Linked DNA regions of Saccharomyces cerevisiae S288C. Each later gene encodes a partner of the first gene's protein in a complex. Each region holds a gene or a part of one and is shown in the gene's direction. Other genes may lie near its edges.

The links.
Region 2: the proteins of SKP1 (region 1) and CDC4 are in contact, whole or in part, in a crystal structure (PDB 3V7D), measured with the Saccharomyces cerevisiae proteins. Residues at the interface, in NP_010615.3 of Saccharomyces cerevisiae: Ser113 (codon at 2,121), Asp127 (codon at 2,163), Gln128 (codon at 2,166), Glu129 (codon at 2,169), Leu131 (codon at 2,175), Tyr132 (codon at 2,178), Ile135 (codon at 2,187), Leu136 (codon at 2,190), Asn139 (codon at 2,199), Lys144 (codon at 2,214), Leu147 (codon at 2,223), Asp148 (codon at 2,226), Cys151 (codon at 2,235), Lys152 (codon at 2,238), Val154 (codon at 2,244), Ala155 (codon at 2,247), Ile158 (codon at 2,256), Arg159 (codon at 2,259), Gly160 (codon at 2,262), Arg161 (codon at 2,265), Pro163 (codon at 2,271), Ile166 (codon at 2,280), Arg167 (codon at 2,283), Arg168 (codon at 2,286), Thr169 (codon at 2,289), Phe170 (codon at 2,292), Asn171 (codon at 2,295), Ile172 (codon at 2,298), Val173 (codon at 2,301), Asn174 (codon at 2,304); in NP_116585.1 of Saccharomyces cerevisiae: Asn269 (codon at 2,424), Leu270 (codon at 2,427), Lys271 (codon at 2,430), Arg272 (codon at 2,433), Asp273 (codon at 2,436), Leu274 (codon at 2,439), Ile275 (codon at 2,442), Ser277 (codon at 2,448), Leu278 (codon at 2,451), Pro279 (codon at 2,454), Ile282 (codon at 2,463), Lys285 (codon at 2,472), Ile286 (codon at 2,475), Tyr289 (codon at 2,484), Leu290 (codon at 2,487), Asp294 (codon at 2,499), Ile296 (codon at 2,505), Asn297 (codon at 2,508), Ser298 (codon at 2,511), Leu299 (codon at 2,514), Gly300 (codon at 2,517), Val301 (codon at 2,520), Ser302 (codon at 2,523), Gln303 (codon at 2,526), Asn304 (codon at 2,529), Trp305 (codon at 2,532), Asn306 (codon at 2,535), Arg310 (codon at 2,547), Arg352 (codon at 2,673), Leu353 (codon at 2,676).
Region 3: the proteins of SKP1 (region 1) and CTF13 are in contact, whole or in part, in a cryo-EM structure (PDB 6GYU), measured with the Saccharomyces cerevisiae proteins. Residues at the interface, in NP_010615.3 of Saccharomyces cerevisiae: Lys30 (codon at 1,872), Asn101 (codon at 2,085), Phe102 (codon at 2,088), Asp104 (codon at 2,094), Asp106 (codon at 2,100), Asp107 (codon at 2,103), Asp108 (codon at 2,106), Asp109 (codon at 2,109), Ser110 (codon at 2,112), Arg111 (codon at 2,115), Lys112 (codon at 2,118), Ser113 (codon at 2,121), Gln128 (codon at 2,166), Glu129 (codon at 2,169), Tyr132 (codon at 2,178), Ile135 (codon at 2,187), Leu136 (codon at 2,190), Asn139 (codon at 2,199), Lys144 (codon at 2,214), Leu147 (codon at 2,223), Asp148 (codon at 2,226), Cys151 (codon at 2,235), Lys152 (codon at 2,238), Val154 (codon at 2,244), Ala155 (codon at 2,247), Met157 (codon at 2,253), Ile158 (codon at 2,256), Arg159 (codon at 2,259), Gly160 (codon at 2,262), Arg161 (codon at 2,265); in NP_013812.1 of Saccharomyces cerevisiae: Ser3 (codon at 2,054), Phe4 (codon at 2,057), Pro6 (codon at 2,063), Val7 (codon at 2,066), Arg8 (codon at 2,069), Phe9 (codon at 2,072), Leu10 (codon at 2,075), Leu12 (codon at 2,081), Asp15 (codon at 2,090), Ile16 (codon at 2,093), Glu19 (codon at 2,102), Val20 (codon at 2,105), Tyr21 (codon at 2,108), Phe22 (codon at 2,111), His23 (codon at 2,114), Leu24 (codon at 2,117), Asp25 (codon at 2,120), Asn27 (codon at 2,126), Phe28 (codon at 2,129), Cys29 (codon at 2,132), Gly30 (codon at 2,135), Arg58 (codon at 2,219), Lys61 (codon at 2,228), Tyr65 (codon at 2,240), Met66 (codon at 2,243), Lys86 (codon at 2,303), Glu89 (codon at 2,312), Tyr90 (codon at 2,315), Phe92 (codon at 2,321), Trp93 (codon at 2,324).
Region 4: the proteins of SKP1 (region 1) and CEP3 are in contact, whole or in part, in a cryo-EM structure (PDB 6GYU), measured with the Saccharomyces cerevisiae proteins. Residues at the interface, in NP_010615.3 of Saccharomyces cerevisiae: Leu27 (codon at 1,863), Leu28 (codon at 1,866), Lys30 (codon at 1,872), Asn31 (codon at 1,875), Tyr32 (codon at 1,878), Asn34 (codon at 1,884), Asp35 (codon at 1,887), Met77 (codon at 2,013), Pro80 (codon at 2,022), Asn81 (codon at 2,025), Asp104 (codon at 2,094), Glu105 (codon at 2,097), Asp106 (codon at 2,100), Leu136 (codon at 2,190), Asn139 (codon at 2,199), Tyr140 (codon at 2,202), Asn142 (codon at 2,208), Asn171 (codon at 2,295), Ile172 (codon at 2,298), Val173 (codon at 2,301), Asn174 (codon at 2,304), Asp175 (codon at 2,307), Phe176 (codon at 2,310), Thr177 (codon at 2,313); in NP_013891.1 of Saccharomyces cerevisiae: Lys11 (codon at 1,647), His12 (codon at 1,650), Ser45 (codon at 1,749), Thr46 (codon at 1,752), Lys47 (codon at 1,755), Arg374 (codon at 2,736), Arg375 (codon at 2,739), Asp378 (codon at 2,748), Gln381 (codon at 2,757), Tyr382 (codon at 2,760), Asp385 (codon at 2,769), Lys400 (codon at 2,814), Leu404 (codon at 2,826), Ala425 (codon at 2,889), Asp426 (codon at 2,892), Leu429 (codon at 2,901), Lys430 (codon at 2,904), His433 (codon at 2,913), Tyr434 (codon at 2,916), Val437 (codon at 2,925), Ser440 (codon at 2,934), Asn444 (codon at 2,946).

Annotation. Positions count from the first base shown.
Region 1 is NC_001136.10:1,124,874-1,127,802, reverse strand, and holds SKP1 (SCF ubiquitin ligase subunit SKP1), read left to right. Parts: upstream 1-1,784; coding exon 1,785-2,369; downstream 2,370-2,929. Other genes in the region: PEX3 (Pex3p), read left to right, coding at 208-1,533; YSP2 (Ysp2p), read left to right, coding at 2,878-2,929.
Region 2 is NC_001138.5:114,526-119,013, forward strand, and holds CDC4 (SCF ubiquitin ligase complex subunit CDC4), read left to right. Parts: upstream 1-1,619; coding exon 1,620-3,959; downstream 3,960-4,488. Other genes in the region: AUA1 (Aua1p), read left to right, coding at 465-749; WWM1 (Wwm1p), read right to left, coding at 583-1,218. UniProt on the Saccharomyces cerevisiae protein: Substrate recognition component of a SCF (SKP1-CUL1-F-box protein) E3 ubiquitin-protein ligase complex which mediates the ubiquitination and subsequent proteasomal degradation of target proteins. Recognizes and binds to phosphorylated target proteins.
Region 3 is NC_001145.3:453,778-457,772, forward strand, and holds CTF13 (Ctf13p), read left to right. Parts: upstream 1-2,047; coding exon 2,048-3,484; downstream 3,485-3,995. Other genes in the region: snoRNA-binding rRNA-processing protein UTP15, read left to right, coding at 238-1,779; SNO1 (putative pyridoxal 5'-phosphate synthase), read right to left, coding at 3,508-3,995. UniProt on the Saccharomyces cerevisiae protein: Acts as a central component of the centromere DNA-binding protein complex CBF3, which is essential for chromosome segregation and movement of centromeres along microtubules. CBF3 is required for the recruitment of other kinetochore complexes to CEN DNA.
Region 4 is NC_001145.3:596,832-600,774, reverse strand, and holds CEP3 (Cep3p), read left to right. Parts: upstream 1-1,616; coding exon 1,617-3,443; downstream 3,444-3,943. Other genes in the region: aldehyde dehydrogenase (NAD(+)) ALD3, read left to right, coding at 1-1,423; mismatch repair ATPase MLH1, read right to left, coding at 3,580-3,943. UniProt on the Saccharomyces cerevisiae protein: Acts as a component of the centromere DNA-binding protein complex CBF3, which is essential for chromosome segregation and movement of centromeres along microtubules. CBF3 is required for the recruitment of other kinetochore complexes to CEN DNA.

The DNA of each region.
Region 1 (2,929 bases):
AGCTAAGATGTCGTTAACAAGTAGTAGAGTTTGCGTGAATGTATGAATATTTCCCTTTTTCCTTAAAAATTCCTTGCATTTTGGTAATCGTGTGTAATGATAAGGGCGTTATTCGACTTATATGAGCATGGGGTATATTATTGAGGTAGTTAATACTAGTCATCGTAAAAGCAGAAGCACGAAACAAGGAGGCAAACCACTAAAAGGATGGCCCCAAATCAAAGATCACGTTCGCTTCTGCAGAGACATCGAGGAAAGGTACTCATTTCATTGACTGGAATAGCTGCTTTATTTACCACAGGGTCGGTGGTAGTGTTTTTCGTGAAGAGATGGTTGTATAAACAGCAGTTACGGATTACTGAGCAACACTTCATCAAAGAACAGATCAAAAGAAGGTTCGAGCAGACACAGGAAGACTCGTTGTACACAATATACGAGCTACTTCCTGTATGGAGAATGGTTTTGAATGAAAACGATTTGAATTTGGACAGCATCGTTACCCAATTAAAGGACCAAAAGAACCAGTTGACTAGAGCAAAGTCTAGTGAAAGCAGAGAAAGTTCGCCGTTAAAAAGTAAAGCTGAGTTGTGGAACGAGTTAGAACTAAAGAGTTTGATCAAGCTGGTGACAGTGACGTACACAGTATCGTCGCTGATTCTTTTAACAAGACTGCAACTAAATATCCTGACAAGAAACGAGTACCTGGACTCCGCAATAAAATTAACCATGCAGCAGGAAAACTGCAACAAACTACAGAATAGGTTCTATAACTGGGTTACATCGTGGTGGAGCGATCCGGAGGACAAAGCGGATGATGCAATGGTAATGGCAGCAAAAAAGTCAAAGAAAGAAGGCCAGGAAGTGTATATTAATGAGCAAGCTTTCCTATCACTATCATGGTGGATTCTTAACAAGGGGTGGTTGAGTTACAATGAAATAATTACAAATCAAATCGAAATTGAATTTGACGGCATACACCCAAGAGATACTCTAACGTTAGAAGAATTTAGTTCTCGTCTCACGAACATATTCCGGAACACGAATTCCCAAATATTCCAGCAAAATAATAATAACCTCACGTCTATTTTGCTTCCTAAAGATTCCAGTGGACAGGAGTTTCTTCTGTCACAGACGCTTGACGCGGATGCTTTAACAAGTTTTCACTCTAACACACTAGTTTTTAATCAATTGGTGAATGAACTGACCCAATGTATCGAAAGCACAGCAACATCCATAGTGTTAGAGTCTCTAATAAATGAATCATTCCATTTCATAATGAACAAGGTCGGCATAAAGACAATAGCCAAGAAAAAACCTGGCCAAGAAGATCAGCAACAGTATCAAATGGCAGTTTTCGCTATGTCGATGAAAGACTGTTGCCAAGAAATGCTTCAAACAACTGCCGGGTCTTCCCATAGCGGCAGCGTGAACGAATACCTGGCCACTCTGGATTCTGTGCAGCCGCTCGATGATCTGAGCGCCAGCGTATACAGCAACTTTGGCGTCTCCAGCTCGTTTTCCTTCAAGCCTTAATCTCTGAATAAGTACTGACACTCACACCAGAATATATATATATATAGCGTAATCTTTAATACAGTAAGTGTGCAATAGGTAACATGACATTACCCTGCAGCGATTTAACGGGCGTCTTGGAGAAAAGAAGAGAAAGGGAAGAAATAGGTTGATATATTGAGGGCAGAGAAAGTGATAGCCCAACGTTGGCAAAGATATAACAGAAAAGACGTTATAAACAATACAGGAATACTAACAAACGTAGCGCAGATATGGTGACTTCTAATGTTGTCCTAGTGAGTGGTGAGGGTGAACGATTCACCGTAGACAAGAAAATCGCGGAGAGATCCCTGCTATTGAAAAACTATCTGAACGATATGCATGACAGCAACCTACAAAACAACTCAGATTCAGAATCAGATTCAGACTCGGAAACGAACCACAAAAGCAAAGACAACAATAACGGTGACGACGACGATGAGGATGACGACGAGATTGTGATGCCCGTGCCCAATGTTCGGTCTTCCGTTTTGCAGAAGGTTATCGAATGGGCCGAGCACCACAGAGACTCTAACTTCCCTGACGAAGATGACGACGATTCCAGAAAGAGTGCTCCCGTGGACTCATGGGACAGAGAATTCCTGAAAGTGGACCAAGAGATGCTATACGAAATTATTCTGGCGGCAAACTACCTCAACATCAAGCCCTTGCTTGACGCTGGCTGCAAGGTGGTTGCTGAAATGATCAGGGGAAGGTCTCCCGAGGAAATTAGAAGAACGTTTAATATCGTCAACGACTTCACTCCAGAGGAGGAGGCTGCCATTAGGCGTGAAAATGAATGGGCTGAAGACCGTTAGCCTACATTTCCTCTGATGACTGTGATCCTTTCTTCCGATGATAATGCGCCATTTCAGAGCAAGATAGGCAAAAATAAGCAAACAAGGCTTGCTGTCATGCAATGTGTACGTTAGTCCACCATAACCAAGCATGTATGAATTATATATGTATACAGTTTACATAAACTTCAAACTACAATAAGATGTGTGGTCCATCGTCGTGTGTAGCGATAGGCGTCTTCTAAAAGCCGCAAAAGTGACAAGAAGAAAAAAGGAAAATTATTGAGTTATAAAAGCTATTGTTTACATGATGAGACGGGATAAATTTAGGACAGATAGCTGTAAACACTCCGTTTTGAATCATATTTGTGAAATATTTGGTCTAAATTTTAAGTCAAGTTTATTTTCTTCGAGCATTTCAACACCAGCTTAACCCTTTGCTTTAAATTATTCATCTAAAATAGGGTATATTGATTGCTAATCACATATAAATATATAGAAGCAGCAGCTGTACAGATATCCCTAACCAATGAGGGATGAAGCTACTCGCAAAAAAAGGTCATTTAGTGATGGTCATTTTT
Region 2 (4,488 bases), on another chromosome or scaffold:
TGTGAAGTATGTGGATAGGTGCTTCTATTATTGGAACAAAACACCTTAAACGCGCACTAGGTTATAGGAAAGGGTCCATTATTCAAAGAACGGCTTATTGAAAAGTATGTTGTAAAGCTCGGTCATATCGCGCATAGCCACGATAAGGCGTGGTGCTGCTTCATAGATTGAGAGGCGCAGTCAATACACAACCATACCGGTAGTTTGATAAATGATACTATCATTCCGGAAGCTCTCTAGTAAGCTGTAGGTGGCATATACGGTATCTATCATCTAGTAATAGCTATTGATTTTTTTCTCGACTATGCTATATGTGTTGTGATGGTTCACTTAGAAGTGAAAAAGTAGCAATAAATTAGACAGACAGAAGTAATTGAAGCTACATTCAACAACATGGCTAAGTAAAAAAGCGTAGAATATCATGATGGGTTTTTTTATCTTTTAATTGCTTTCTATGTAGTATAATGGACCGATCTTTGCAAGTATATATCTGTATGTATCCATATTTAGATGGCAGCAAGCAATATAGATTTGATGAGCTTATATCATTTTATCGTCCTTGTCCAAAAAGTCTTGATAACATTAAAAGTCACTACCGTCAAATCCATCATCAAATCCGCCGTCGAACCCACCAGCATCATCAAATCCGCCGTCGGACCCACCAGCATCATCACCGTAGTAATTGTTCTCGACAACGACAGTGTCTGGTCCGTCATAGTTGTGGTCGTCAAATGCGTGTTCTAGCATAGCTCCACCTAACAAACCCGCACCAACACCAAGTAAACCACCCATCATGGCACCGCCGTGTCCACTACCTTTACTGGTGCTTGGCGCAGTTCCATAGTATGCTTGCTGTGGTGCTGCTGCTGGCATAGGGGCTTGTTGAGGATAGTAACGCTGCTGTTGAGGGTATTGAGGGTACTGAGGCTGTTGAGGCTGATAGTAACGAGGTTGCTGTGCTTGGGCCCCTGCTTGCACTTGCGGTGTTGATTGAGAAGAATAAGGTGGAGGAGCCTGGTCTGCCTGTTGACGAGAACTCTTCTCATTGTTAACACCTGGTGGAGGACCTTTGGGTCTTGGCCATGTTGTTCCCCTTGGTGGTTCCCACTGAGAGCTGTTCGTAGATAAATCTACATAATACCAAGTCTGGTATTCATCATCAAAAACAGCCTTCCAGCCAGAAGGCACTTGAGGAGGATTACTTTTACTTTGAGCCATTACTTTAAAATGTTTTGGGTTTTTTTATCGACTCTCTTGTAGTGAGTGATAAAAGCAATTCAGAAAGAGTCTTTTGATTATCATGACTAAAGTAAACTTTTTCTTCCAGCTGCCGGCTCGGTCAGGTGGACGAAACAAAAAAGCCTGTTGAAATAATACTGAATACGTTAAAACGTCACAGCGCTTGTATATCTTGTGAGAGAAAGGCTATTACCACTGTTATATGAATATAGATTGCTCAACAAAGCGTGTCTTTTTCTGTGTGCTTAAAATATAGTGTCTTTTTTGGGAAAAAAACGTTTATTTACAGTATTCTCTTCTTCTTCTCCTCATTCAACTTGTTGCGGTTCGAAGAAAATTACGCATAAAGAATCAAAGAAAGGCAAAAATTACGCTGTACGATGGGGTCGTTTCCCTTAGCTGAGTTTCCATTACGTGATATCCCTGTTCCTTATAGCTACCGTGTGTCTGGCGGTATAGCTTCCTCAGGTAGTGTTACTGCGCTTGTTACTGCCGCTGGCACTCATCGAAACTCGTCCACGGCTAAGACAGTTGAGACAGAAGACGGCGAAGAAGATATCGATGAGTATCAGAGGAAAAGAGCAGCTGGTTCTGGCGAATCCACTCCTGAACGCAGTGATTTCAAAAGGGTAAAACATGATAATCACAAAACCCTCCATCCAGTTAACTTACAGAACACCGGTGCAGCGTCTGTGGATAATGACGGTCTGCACAATTTAACAGATATATCCAACGATGCAGAAAAACTTTTGATGTCTGTGGATGATGGTTCTGCCGCACCTTCTACATTGAGTGTAAACATGGGAGTGGCATCTCATAATGTTGCTGCTCCCACTACCGTCAATGCGGCAACAATAACTGGCAGTGATGTTAGTAACAATGTTAATAGTGCTACTATTAACAATCCTATGGAGGAAGGAGCGCTGCCGTTATCACCCACTGCTTCCTCTCCAGGTACCACAACTCCTTTAGCTAAAACTACGAAAACTATCAACAACAATAATAATATCGCCGATTTGATAGAATCCAAAGATTCTATAATCTCCCCTGAATACCTTTCTGATGAGATTTTCAGCGCAATAAACAATAATCTCCCTCACGCATACTTCAAAAATTTATTATTTAGATTAGTTGCCAACATGGATAGGAGTGAACTATCCGACTTGGGGACTTTAATCAAGGATAATTTAAAGAGGGACCTAATAACGTCTTTGCCTTTTGAAATAAGTTTGAAAATTTTCAATTATTTGCAATTCGAGGATATTATAAATTCCCTTGGGGTCTCCCAAAATTGGAACAAAATAATTAGAAAATCTACATCGTTGTGGAAAAAACTTCTGATATCGGAAAATTTTGTGAGCCCAAAGGGTTTTAATTCTCTCAATCTCAAACTCTCCCAAAAATACCCAAAACTCTCACAACAAGATCGCCTTAGATTATCTTTTCTGGAGAATATATTCATTTTAAAAAATTGGTACAATCCCAAGTTTGTACCACAAAGGACCACGTTAAGAGGCCATATGACGAGTGTTATTACGTGCTTGCAATTTGAAGATAATTATGTCATTACGGGGGCTGATGACAAAATGATCAGAGTTTATGATTCGATAAACAAGAAATTTCTTCTACAACTATCAGGTCATGATGGTGGGGTTTGGGCATTGAAGTATGCCCATGGCGGTATTTTAGTCAGCGGTTCTACAGACAGAACGGTGCGAGTTTGGGATATTAAGAAAGGTTGTTGTACCCATGTGTTTAAAGGTCATAACTCTACGGTGAGGTGCCTAGATATAGTAGAATATAAAAATATCAAGTACATTGTTACTGGTTCGAGAGATAACACTTTGCACGTTTGGAAATTGCCCAAGGAGTCCTCCGTTCCTGATCATGGGGAAGAACATGATTATCCATTAGTCTTTCATACCCCTGAGGAGAACCCATATTTTGTTGGTGTTTTAAGAGGACATATGGCATCTGTAAGAACTGTCTCAGGCCACGGTAATATTGTCGTTAGTGGCTCCTATGATAATACACTGATTGTGTGGGATGTTGCGCAAATGAAATGTTTGTATATTTTAAGTGGACATACGGATCGTATTTATTCGACAATCTACGATCATGAAAGAAAAAGGTGCATCTCTGCCAGTATGGATACCACTATTAGAATTTGGGATTTGGAAAATATATGGAATAATGGAGAATGTTCCTACGCAACAAATTCAGCATCGCCATGCGCCAAAATACTTGGTGCTATGTACACTTTGCAGGGTCATACAGCTTTGGTCGGTTTATTAAGATTATCCGACAAATTTTTGGTCAGTGCCGCTGCAGACGGTTCAATAAGGGGTTGGGACGCAAACGACTACTCTAGAAAATTTTCCTACCATCATACCAATTTGAGTGCAATTACCACATTTTATGTATCGGATAATATTTTGGTGAGTGGATCGGAAAATCAGTTCAACATCTATAATCTACGGAGTGGGAAATTGGTCCACGCAAATATTCTAAAAGATGCTGATCAGATTTGGTCGGTTAATTTTAAGGGCAAAACACTTGTTGCAGCAGTTGAAAAAGATGGACAGAGCTTTTTAGAAATTCTGGATTTCAGCAAAGCTTCAAAAATTAACTACGTTAGCAATCCCGTAAACTCCTCGTCGTCGTCTTTGGAATCCATTTCTACTTCTTTGGGTCTAACGAGGACAACTATAATACCATGACCTTTCCCAGAGAATAAGCATTGACTCATACTTAGATAATATAGCTTAATAAGTAGTTATATAATCAGTAAAAAAGTACAATAACAACTTCGTACATTTTATTGAATATAAACTGCAGCTAAACTGCTTGTATGTTCAATTTTAATTGTGTTTACAAAAAGGGTGCCGTTTATTAATTAATGTTTCTTCCCTGAAAATATGGAAAGTACAAGTTTTTAGTTGAGAAGGGTTTAAGAAAGTTTTGAAAATGATCTAAAAAAATATAAAAGCAATCAAAGAAATAAAAGCTGGAAAAATGCGTAATAACCGAAGTGACTAAAATTTCTTTACGCGCCAAATAAGAAATCGATGCTCTTGAAAGTAGCAACCATTTTTTAAATAATATATTCCTGATGGTTCTTGGCCCAAGAGTTTTCTTGAACTTTTAACGTTAAGAAGTTGATTCTGCTGATTTTTTTCAAGTTATCAAGCGTTATGTTTTGAAACATCTGTTCCGTTTTCAGTTTTTCAAAAAGATCGATATTCTCTT
Region 3 (3,995 bases), on another chromosome or scaffold:
CTAGTATTGATACACCTCCAGTTTCTAGTCATTCACCCCAAGTAAGCATAATATTTAACGTTCTGTGACCTACATACCTCGTAATTAGTGATAATTATCTTTTGAAAATTTTTGGAATAACTGAAAAATTTTGAAAACTTTCGAGCTTTGAAGAAAAAACGATGCCCATCACTAATAGAAGTCCCTTGAAACAGTTTTTGCTAAGAACAGGCCTAAGGATCATAATATAGAAATAAAATGTCGACTGCTAGGCCTAGAATAATCACTTCGAAGGCTCCATTATTGCCTCAACAGACTACCCCGGAGCAGCGTTACTGGCGTCAATACACTTCCGCACAACTGGTTAAAGAACATAATAGCGTTACTCACATATCATTCAATCCTCAACATCCTCATGATTTTGCAGTAACTTCCTCAACCAGAGTTCAAATATTTTCTTCAAGAACTAGGCAAGTGATCAAGACCTTTTCAAGATTTAAAGATGTTGTCTATTCTGCATCCTTTAGGAGTGATGGTAAATTGCTTTGTGCCGGTGATGCTACCGGTTTAGTGTCTGTATACGACAGTTATAATCCCAGGACTATCCTTTTATCTATAAACGCTTCCACACATCCCACACATGTTACGAAATTCCATACGCAAGATAACAAAATTCTGGCTACGGCGAGTGACGATAGAGTGACAAGACTTTGGGATATATCCAACGCATATGAGCCACAATTAGAGCTCACCGGAGCTACTGACTATGTTCGTACCTTATCATTTATCCCAGCAGCCCCACATTTGGTTGCAACAGGCTCATACGACGGTTTGATCAGATTATATGACACAAGATCTAGCGGATCCACGCCAATTTATTCTCTGAATCATGACCAACCTGTTGAAAATGTTATTGCAGTATCTCCAACCCAAATTGTTTCTTGCGGTGGCAATAATTTCAAAGTGTGGGACTTGACCAGTAACAAGAAATTATACGAACGTGGCAATTTCAATAAGGCTGTGACATGCTTGGACTATGTTGAAAATTTTGATTCTCCAATGCAATCGGCGTTGATCGCTTCTTCCTTAGATGGTCATGTCAAAGTCTTTGATCCTTTAGACAATTTCCAAGTCAAATTTGGCTGGAAATTTTCGGGTCCCGTACTAAGTTGTGCTGTCTCCCCTAGTACCGCACAAGGGAATAGGCATTTAGTAGCAGGTTTATCATCAGGACTACTAGCCATTAGAACTAAAAAGAAAGAGAAACGTTCTTCCGATAAAGAAAACGCACCCGCCAGTTTTAATAAGAATGCGAAAAGTAATAACTTCCAGAGAATGATGCGAGGCTCGGAATACCAAGGTGATCAAGAGCATATAATCCACAATGATAAGGTAAGATCTCAACGTCGTATGCGTGCATTCGAAAGGAACATAAATCAGTTTAAATGGAGCGAAGCACTCGACAATGCCTTTGTACCAGGTATGGCCAAAGAGTTGACACTTACTGTTCTTCAAGAACTACGCAAACGTGGCAAAGTTCGTGTAGCGCTATATGGTAGAGATGAATCTACATTAGAGCCGCTACTGAATTGGTGCTTAAAAGGTATTGAAGATGTGAGATCAGCATCTATTGTAGCGGATTGGGTCGCCGTGGTTTTAGAATTATATGGGAATACGTTAGAAAGCTCTCCAGTTCTTCAAGAATTGATGATAGATTTGAAAACTAAAGTTAGACATGAAATTCATAAGTCTAAAGAAGCTCAAAGAATTGAAGGTATGCTTCAACTTTTAACGAGTTAAGGAAATATTAGCATATAGATTTTAATTTGTATCTATTTTATAGATATTCAGGCATACATATATATCTCTTTCTCATTGTAATCGAAAAAAATAATATCTTCTCTTTTTATTGAAAAAAGGAACCTGTATAAATTTCATTTTAGAGTGCTTTGCATTTTGATACGTTTTCGCGTTTAACTACCTTCGAGGGCTTGAAAACAAAACATTGTGAGATGAGATGCTATCAACAGAAAGCTGACTGTGAGTCCCCAGAAGTCCATGTCGCTTGATGCCTTCTTTCAATCCTGTTAGATTCTTAGAGTTACCAATTGACATTAGAAAAGAAGTTTACTTCCATTTAGATGGTAATTTTTGCGGAGCACATCCCTACCCAATAGATATATTATACAAATCTAATGATGTGGAGCTTCCAGGAAAACCAAGTTATAAAAGGTCTAAGAGATCTAAGAAATTATTGAGATACATGTATCCTGTTTTTGCCACGTATTTGAACATTTTCGAATACTCTCCGCAACTCATTGAAAAATGGCTTGAGTATGCATTTTGGTTGCGCTATGATTGCCTGGTTTTGGACTGTTTCAAAGTAAACCATCTTTATGACGGAACGCTTATAGATGCATTAGAATGGACGTACCTTGATAATGAACTTCGACTGGCCTACTTCAATAAGGCCAGTATGTTAGAAGTTTGGTATACTTTTAAAGAGTACAAGAAGTGGGTGATAGACAGTGTTGCTTTTGACGAGCTTGACTTACTTAATGTAAGTAATATTCAATTCAACATTGATAATCTAACTCCACAACTAGTAGACAAATGCTTATCAATTTTAGAACAGAAAGATTTATTCGCAACAATCGGGGAGGTACAATTTGGACAAGATGAAGAAGTAGGAGAAGAGAAAGATGTTGATGTTAGTGGAGCTAATTCTGACGAAAACTCCTCACCTAGCTCCACAATTAAAAACAAGAAAAGGTCAGCATCCAAAAGATCACATTCAGATAATGGCAATGTGGGAGCAACGCACAACCAACTAACAAGTATTTCTGTTATAAGAACAATAAGAAGTATGGAATCCATGAAGAGCCTGCGGAAGATCACTGTGAGAGGAGAGAAATTATATGAGTTGCTAATAAATTTTCATGGGTTCAGAGACAATCCTGGTAAAACGATTAGTTACATAGTGAAACGTAGGATAAATGAAATACGCCTATCACGCATGAATCAAATTTCCAGAACCGGACTAGCTGACTTTACAAGATGGGACAACTTGCAAAAGCTTGTATTAAGTAGAGTAGCTTACATCGACCTGAATAGCATTGTCTTTCCCAAAAATTTTAAATCTCTGACAATGAAACGTGTAAGTAAAATCAAGTGGTGGAACATCGAGGAAAATATACTAAAGGAACTAAAAGTCGATAAGAGAACTTTTAAATCGTTGTACATAAAGGAAGATGATAGTAAATTCACAAAATTTTTTAATTTACGACACACAAGAATAAAAGAGCTTGACAAAAGTGAAATTAATCAAATAACATACCTTCGATGTCAAGCAATAGTTTGGCTATCTTTTCGGACTTTGAACCATATCAAGCTACAAAATGTATCTGAAGTTTTTAACAATATCATCGTACCTAGAGCATTGTTCGATAGTAAACGAGTAGAGATTTATCGATGTGAAAAAATCTCTCAGGTTTTGGTAATATAAAAATGTGGAAAACCGGCGGTATTTTAATTAGAAACAAACTGTCTGATAAACCAATCATGAAATCTTGTATCACTGTCAGCAAGCTCTGGATGAAAAGAAGTCACAAGGATATTATGATTTTGCGTTGCAGCTACAACCACATCCTTTCCATTCACTGGCAATTCATATAAACTTTTAACCGCGATAGGATCAAGAATTCTCTCGATCACGGGTGCGCGAATAAATGTAGCAGGAAAATTATCACAGCCAGGTATGAAATTGGAAAAATCACACTTTTGTGTAAAAGATTGAGCTTGTCTTCCAAATGCGTTTCTTCTCACGTCGACCTTCAACACACCTAAAGTCTTTACTAGGGCACTTTCGTTTTCTAATTGCGCGCTTAAAAAGATGAGACCAGCACAAGTACCCCAAACTACCTTTTCCGGATTATGAACAAATTCGTATAAACAAGGATATAAGCCTGTTCTTTGAGCGATGAGGGACATCGACGTAGATTCTCCTCCGGGAATAA
Region 4 (3,943 bases), on another chromosome or scaffold:
AGATGGAAAGACCATCGAAACTGTGAACCCAGCTACTGGCGAACCGATAACATCCTTCCAAGCAGCTAACGAAAAGGATGTAGACAAAGCTGTGAAAGCTGCCAGGGCTGCTTTTGATAACGTTTGGTCGAAGACATCTTCTGAGCAACGTGGTATTTATCTTTCAAACTTATTAAAACTTATTGAGGAGGAGCAAGACACACTTGCCGCATTAGAGACTTTAGACGCTGGTAAGCCTTTCCATTCCAATGCTAAACAAGACTTAGCCCAGATTATAGAACTTACAAGATACTATGCGGGGGCGGTCGACAAGTTCAATATGGGTGAAACCATTCCATTGACTTTTAACAAGTTTGCATATACTCTAAAAGTTCCTTTTGGCGTTGTTGCTCAAATCGTTCCATGGAATTATCCTCTAGCTATGGCTTGTAGAAAAATGCAAGGTGCCTTAGCGGCCGGTAACACGGTTATCATCAAACCTGCTGAAAATACCTCTCTATCTCTACTTTATTTTGCTACTTTAATTAAAAAAGCAGGTTTTCCACCTGGTGTTGTCAATGTCATTCCTGGTTATGGTTCCGTTGTGGGGAAAGCTTTAGGAACCCACATGGATATCGACAAAATATCTTTTACGGGAAGTACTAAGGTTGGCGGCTCAGTATTGGAAGCTTCCGGCCAATCGAACCTTAAGGATATCACACTAGAATGCGGTGGTAAGTCTCCTGCTCTTGTATTTGAAGATGCAGACCTTGATAAGGCTATAGAATGGGTAGCAAATGGTATTTTTTTTAATTCGGGACAGATCTGCACTGCAAACTCAAGAGTTTATGTTCAAAGTTCGATCTACGACAAGTTTGTTGAAAAGTTTAAAGAAACTGCAAAGAAGGAGTGGGATGTTGCAGGAAAATTTGATCCGTTTGATGAGAAATGCATCGTTGGTCCAGTTATATCAAGTACACAGTATGACCGCATCAAAAGTTACATAGAACGTGGTAAAAAGGAGGAAAAGTTGGACATGTTCCAGACCTCTGAATTTCCTATTGGTGGAGCTAAAGGCTACTTCATTCCCCCAACCATCTTCACTGATGTACCAGAAACATCTAAGTTGCTGCGTGATGAAATATTTGGCCCGGTTGTGGTTGTTAGCAAGTTCACAAATTATGATGACGCTCTGAAGCTGGCTAATGATACTTGCTACGGGCTCGCCTCTGCGGTCTTCACCAAAGATGTCAAGAAAGCGCACATGTTTGCTCGCGATATTAAAGCAGGAACTGTTTGGATCAATCAAACCAATCAAGAAGAAGCTAAAGTTCCTTTTGGCGGATTTAAGATGAGTGGTATTGGTAGAGAATCAGGCGACACCGGCGTTGATAACTATTTACAAATAAAATCAGTCCATGTGGATCTTTCATTGGATAAATAATTCGTTACATAGTTATATAAATGTTTACATGAGATTCAAAGCTTCATATTCTATGAAATCTTTATTTTTTACGGCTTTAAATGAAGTGCGCGCAGCCATGTAAGCTAAGCGTAAGAGAATGAAATATTATAACCAACCTTCAGAGAGCAGGTGATGACAAAAGTTACGAACACGAGTTTGCATCCTAATAATAATGTTTAACCGTACCACTCAACTGAAATCCAAGCATCCCTGTTCCGTGTGTACGAGGCGAAAAGTCAAATGTGATCGTATGATACCGTGTGGAAACTGCAGGAAGAGAGGACAGGACTCCGAATGTATGAAATCAACAAAACTAATAACGGCTTCATCTTCCAAGGAATATCTCCCTGACCTATTGTTATTCTGGCAAAATTATGAATATTGGATAACGAATATTGGGCTGTACAAAACAAAACAAAGAGATCTTACTAGAACACCAGCTAATTTGGATACTGATACTGAAGAATGTATGTTTTGGATGAATTATCTTCAAAAAGACCAATCATTCCAATTGATGAACTTTGCTATGGAAAACTTAGGTGCTTTGTATTTTGGTTCCATTGGAGATATCAGTGAATTATATTTGAGGGTGGAACAGTACTGGGATAGAAGGGCAGACAAGAATCACAGTGTAGACGGCAAATACTGGGACGCACTAATATGGTCTGTCTTTACCATGTGCATTTATTATATGCCAGTCGAGAAGTTAGCAGAAATATTTTCAGTATATCCTCTCCATGAATATTTGGGTAGCAACAAAAGGCTCAATTGGGAAGATGGTATGCAATTAGTCATGTGCCAAAATTTTGCACGCTGCTCATTATTCCAATTGAAACAATGTGATTTCATGGCGCATCCCGATATAAGGCTCGTTCAAGCATATCTGATTTTAGCCACTACAACTTTCCCCTACGATGAACCGTTGTTGGCAAATTCGCTCCTAACACAGTGCATCCATACCTTTAAAAATTTTCATGTGGATGACTTTAGACCTTTACTTAATGATGACCCCGTTGAAAGCATCGCTAAAGTAACCTTGGGAAGAATATTCTATCGCCTGTGTGGATGCGATTATCTTCAATCGGGGCCACGCAAACCAATTGCACTTCATACAGAAGTATCCTCCCTATTACAACATGCAGCATATTTGCAGGATTTGCCTAACGTTGATGTTTACAGGGAAGAAAACAGCACAGAGGTCTTGTATTGGAAAATCATCTCATTAGACAGAGATTTAGATCAATACTTGAACAAGAGTTCTAAACCTCCCTTAAAAACATTGGATGCTATAAGGAGGGAGCTCGATATTTTTCAATACAAAGTAGATTCGTTGGAAGAAGATTTTAGATCAAATAACAGCAGATTTCAAAAATTTATTGCACTTTTTCAAATATCTACTGTTTCCTGGAAATTGTTTAAGATGTATCTCATTTATTATGATACCGCAGATTCACTACTAAAGGTTATACATTATTCTAAGGTAATCATTAGTCTTATTGTTAATAACTTCCATGCAAAAAGTGAGTTTTTCAACAGACATCCGATGGTGATGCAAACCATTACGCGCGTGGTCTCTTTCATCTCCTTTTACCAAATTTTTGTGGAATCGGCTGCTGTCAAACAACTTTTAGTAGATCTAACTGAACTTACTGCAAATCTGCCCACAATATTCGGTTCAAAACTAGATAAACTAGTTTACTTGACCGAAAGGCTCAGTAAATTAAAACTTTTATGGGACAAGGTACAGCTTCTAGATTCAGGTGATTCGTTTTACCATCCTGTTTTCAAAATACTACAAAATGATATTAAGATAATTGAGTTGAAAAATGATGAAATGTTTTCTCTCATAAAAGGACTCGGGTCTTTGGTACCGTTGAATAAGCTTAGACAAGAATCGTTGCTTGAGGAAGAGGACGAAAACAATACGGAACCAAGTGACTTCAGAACTATTGTAGAAGAGTTTCAATCCGAATATAACATTTCTGACATACTTTCCTAACTGCAACCATATTTCATATCCTTTGAAATCTCGCGGATGAATCGTTAAAGGAAAGGGCATACACTTTCAAATGAAACACAATCACACTCAGGAAATAAACAAAAAACTTTGGTATTACAGCCAAAACGTTTTAAAGTTAACACCTCTCAAAAACTTTGTATAGATCTGGAAGGTTGGCTATTTCCACGACATCCTTGAGAATGTGTCTAGGGGCCAGGAACCTTCGTTTGATACAAGGGAAGAGAACGTGTTCTAGTAATGAGGATATGTGTTCCTTTCTATTTATAAACTGGGCTTTTTCGTCTTCTGACAACGATGCATCAGATGTATCGACTTTCGGAACCATATCAGGTATATAGAGTAATGCAATCTCTCTTAAAATACCATCTAGACACTCTTGTTCATCCTCCCAATCAACTTCTTTACCCAGGCGATATATAAAAAATGGTAACTTGACCAGAGATGGAATGTAGCCTTTTAAAAGTAGTGGTAGAGATTTT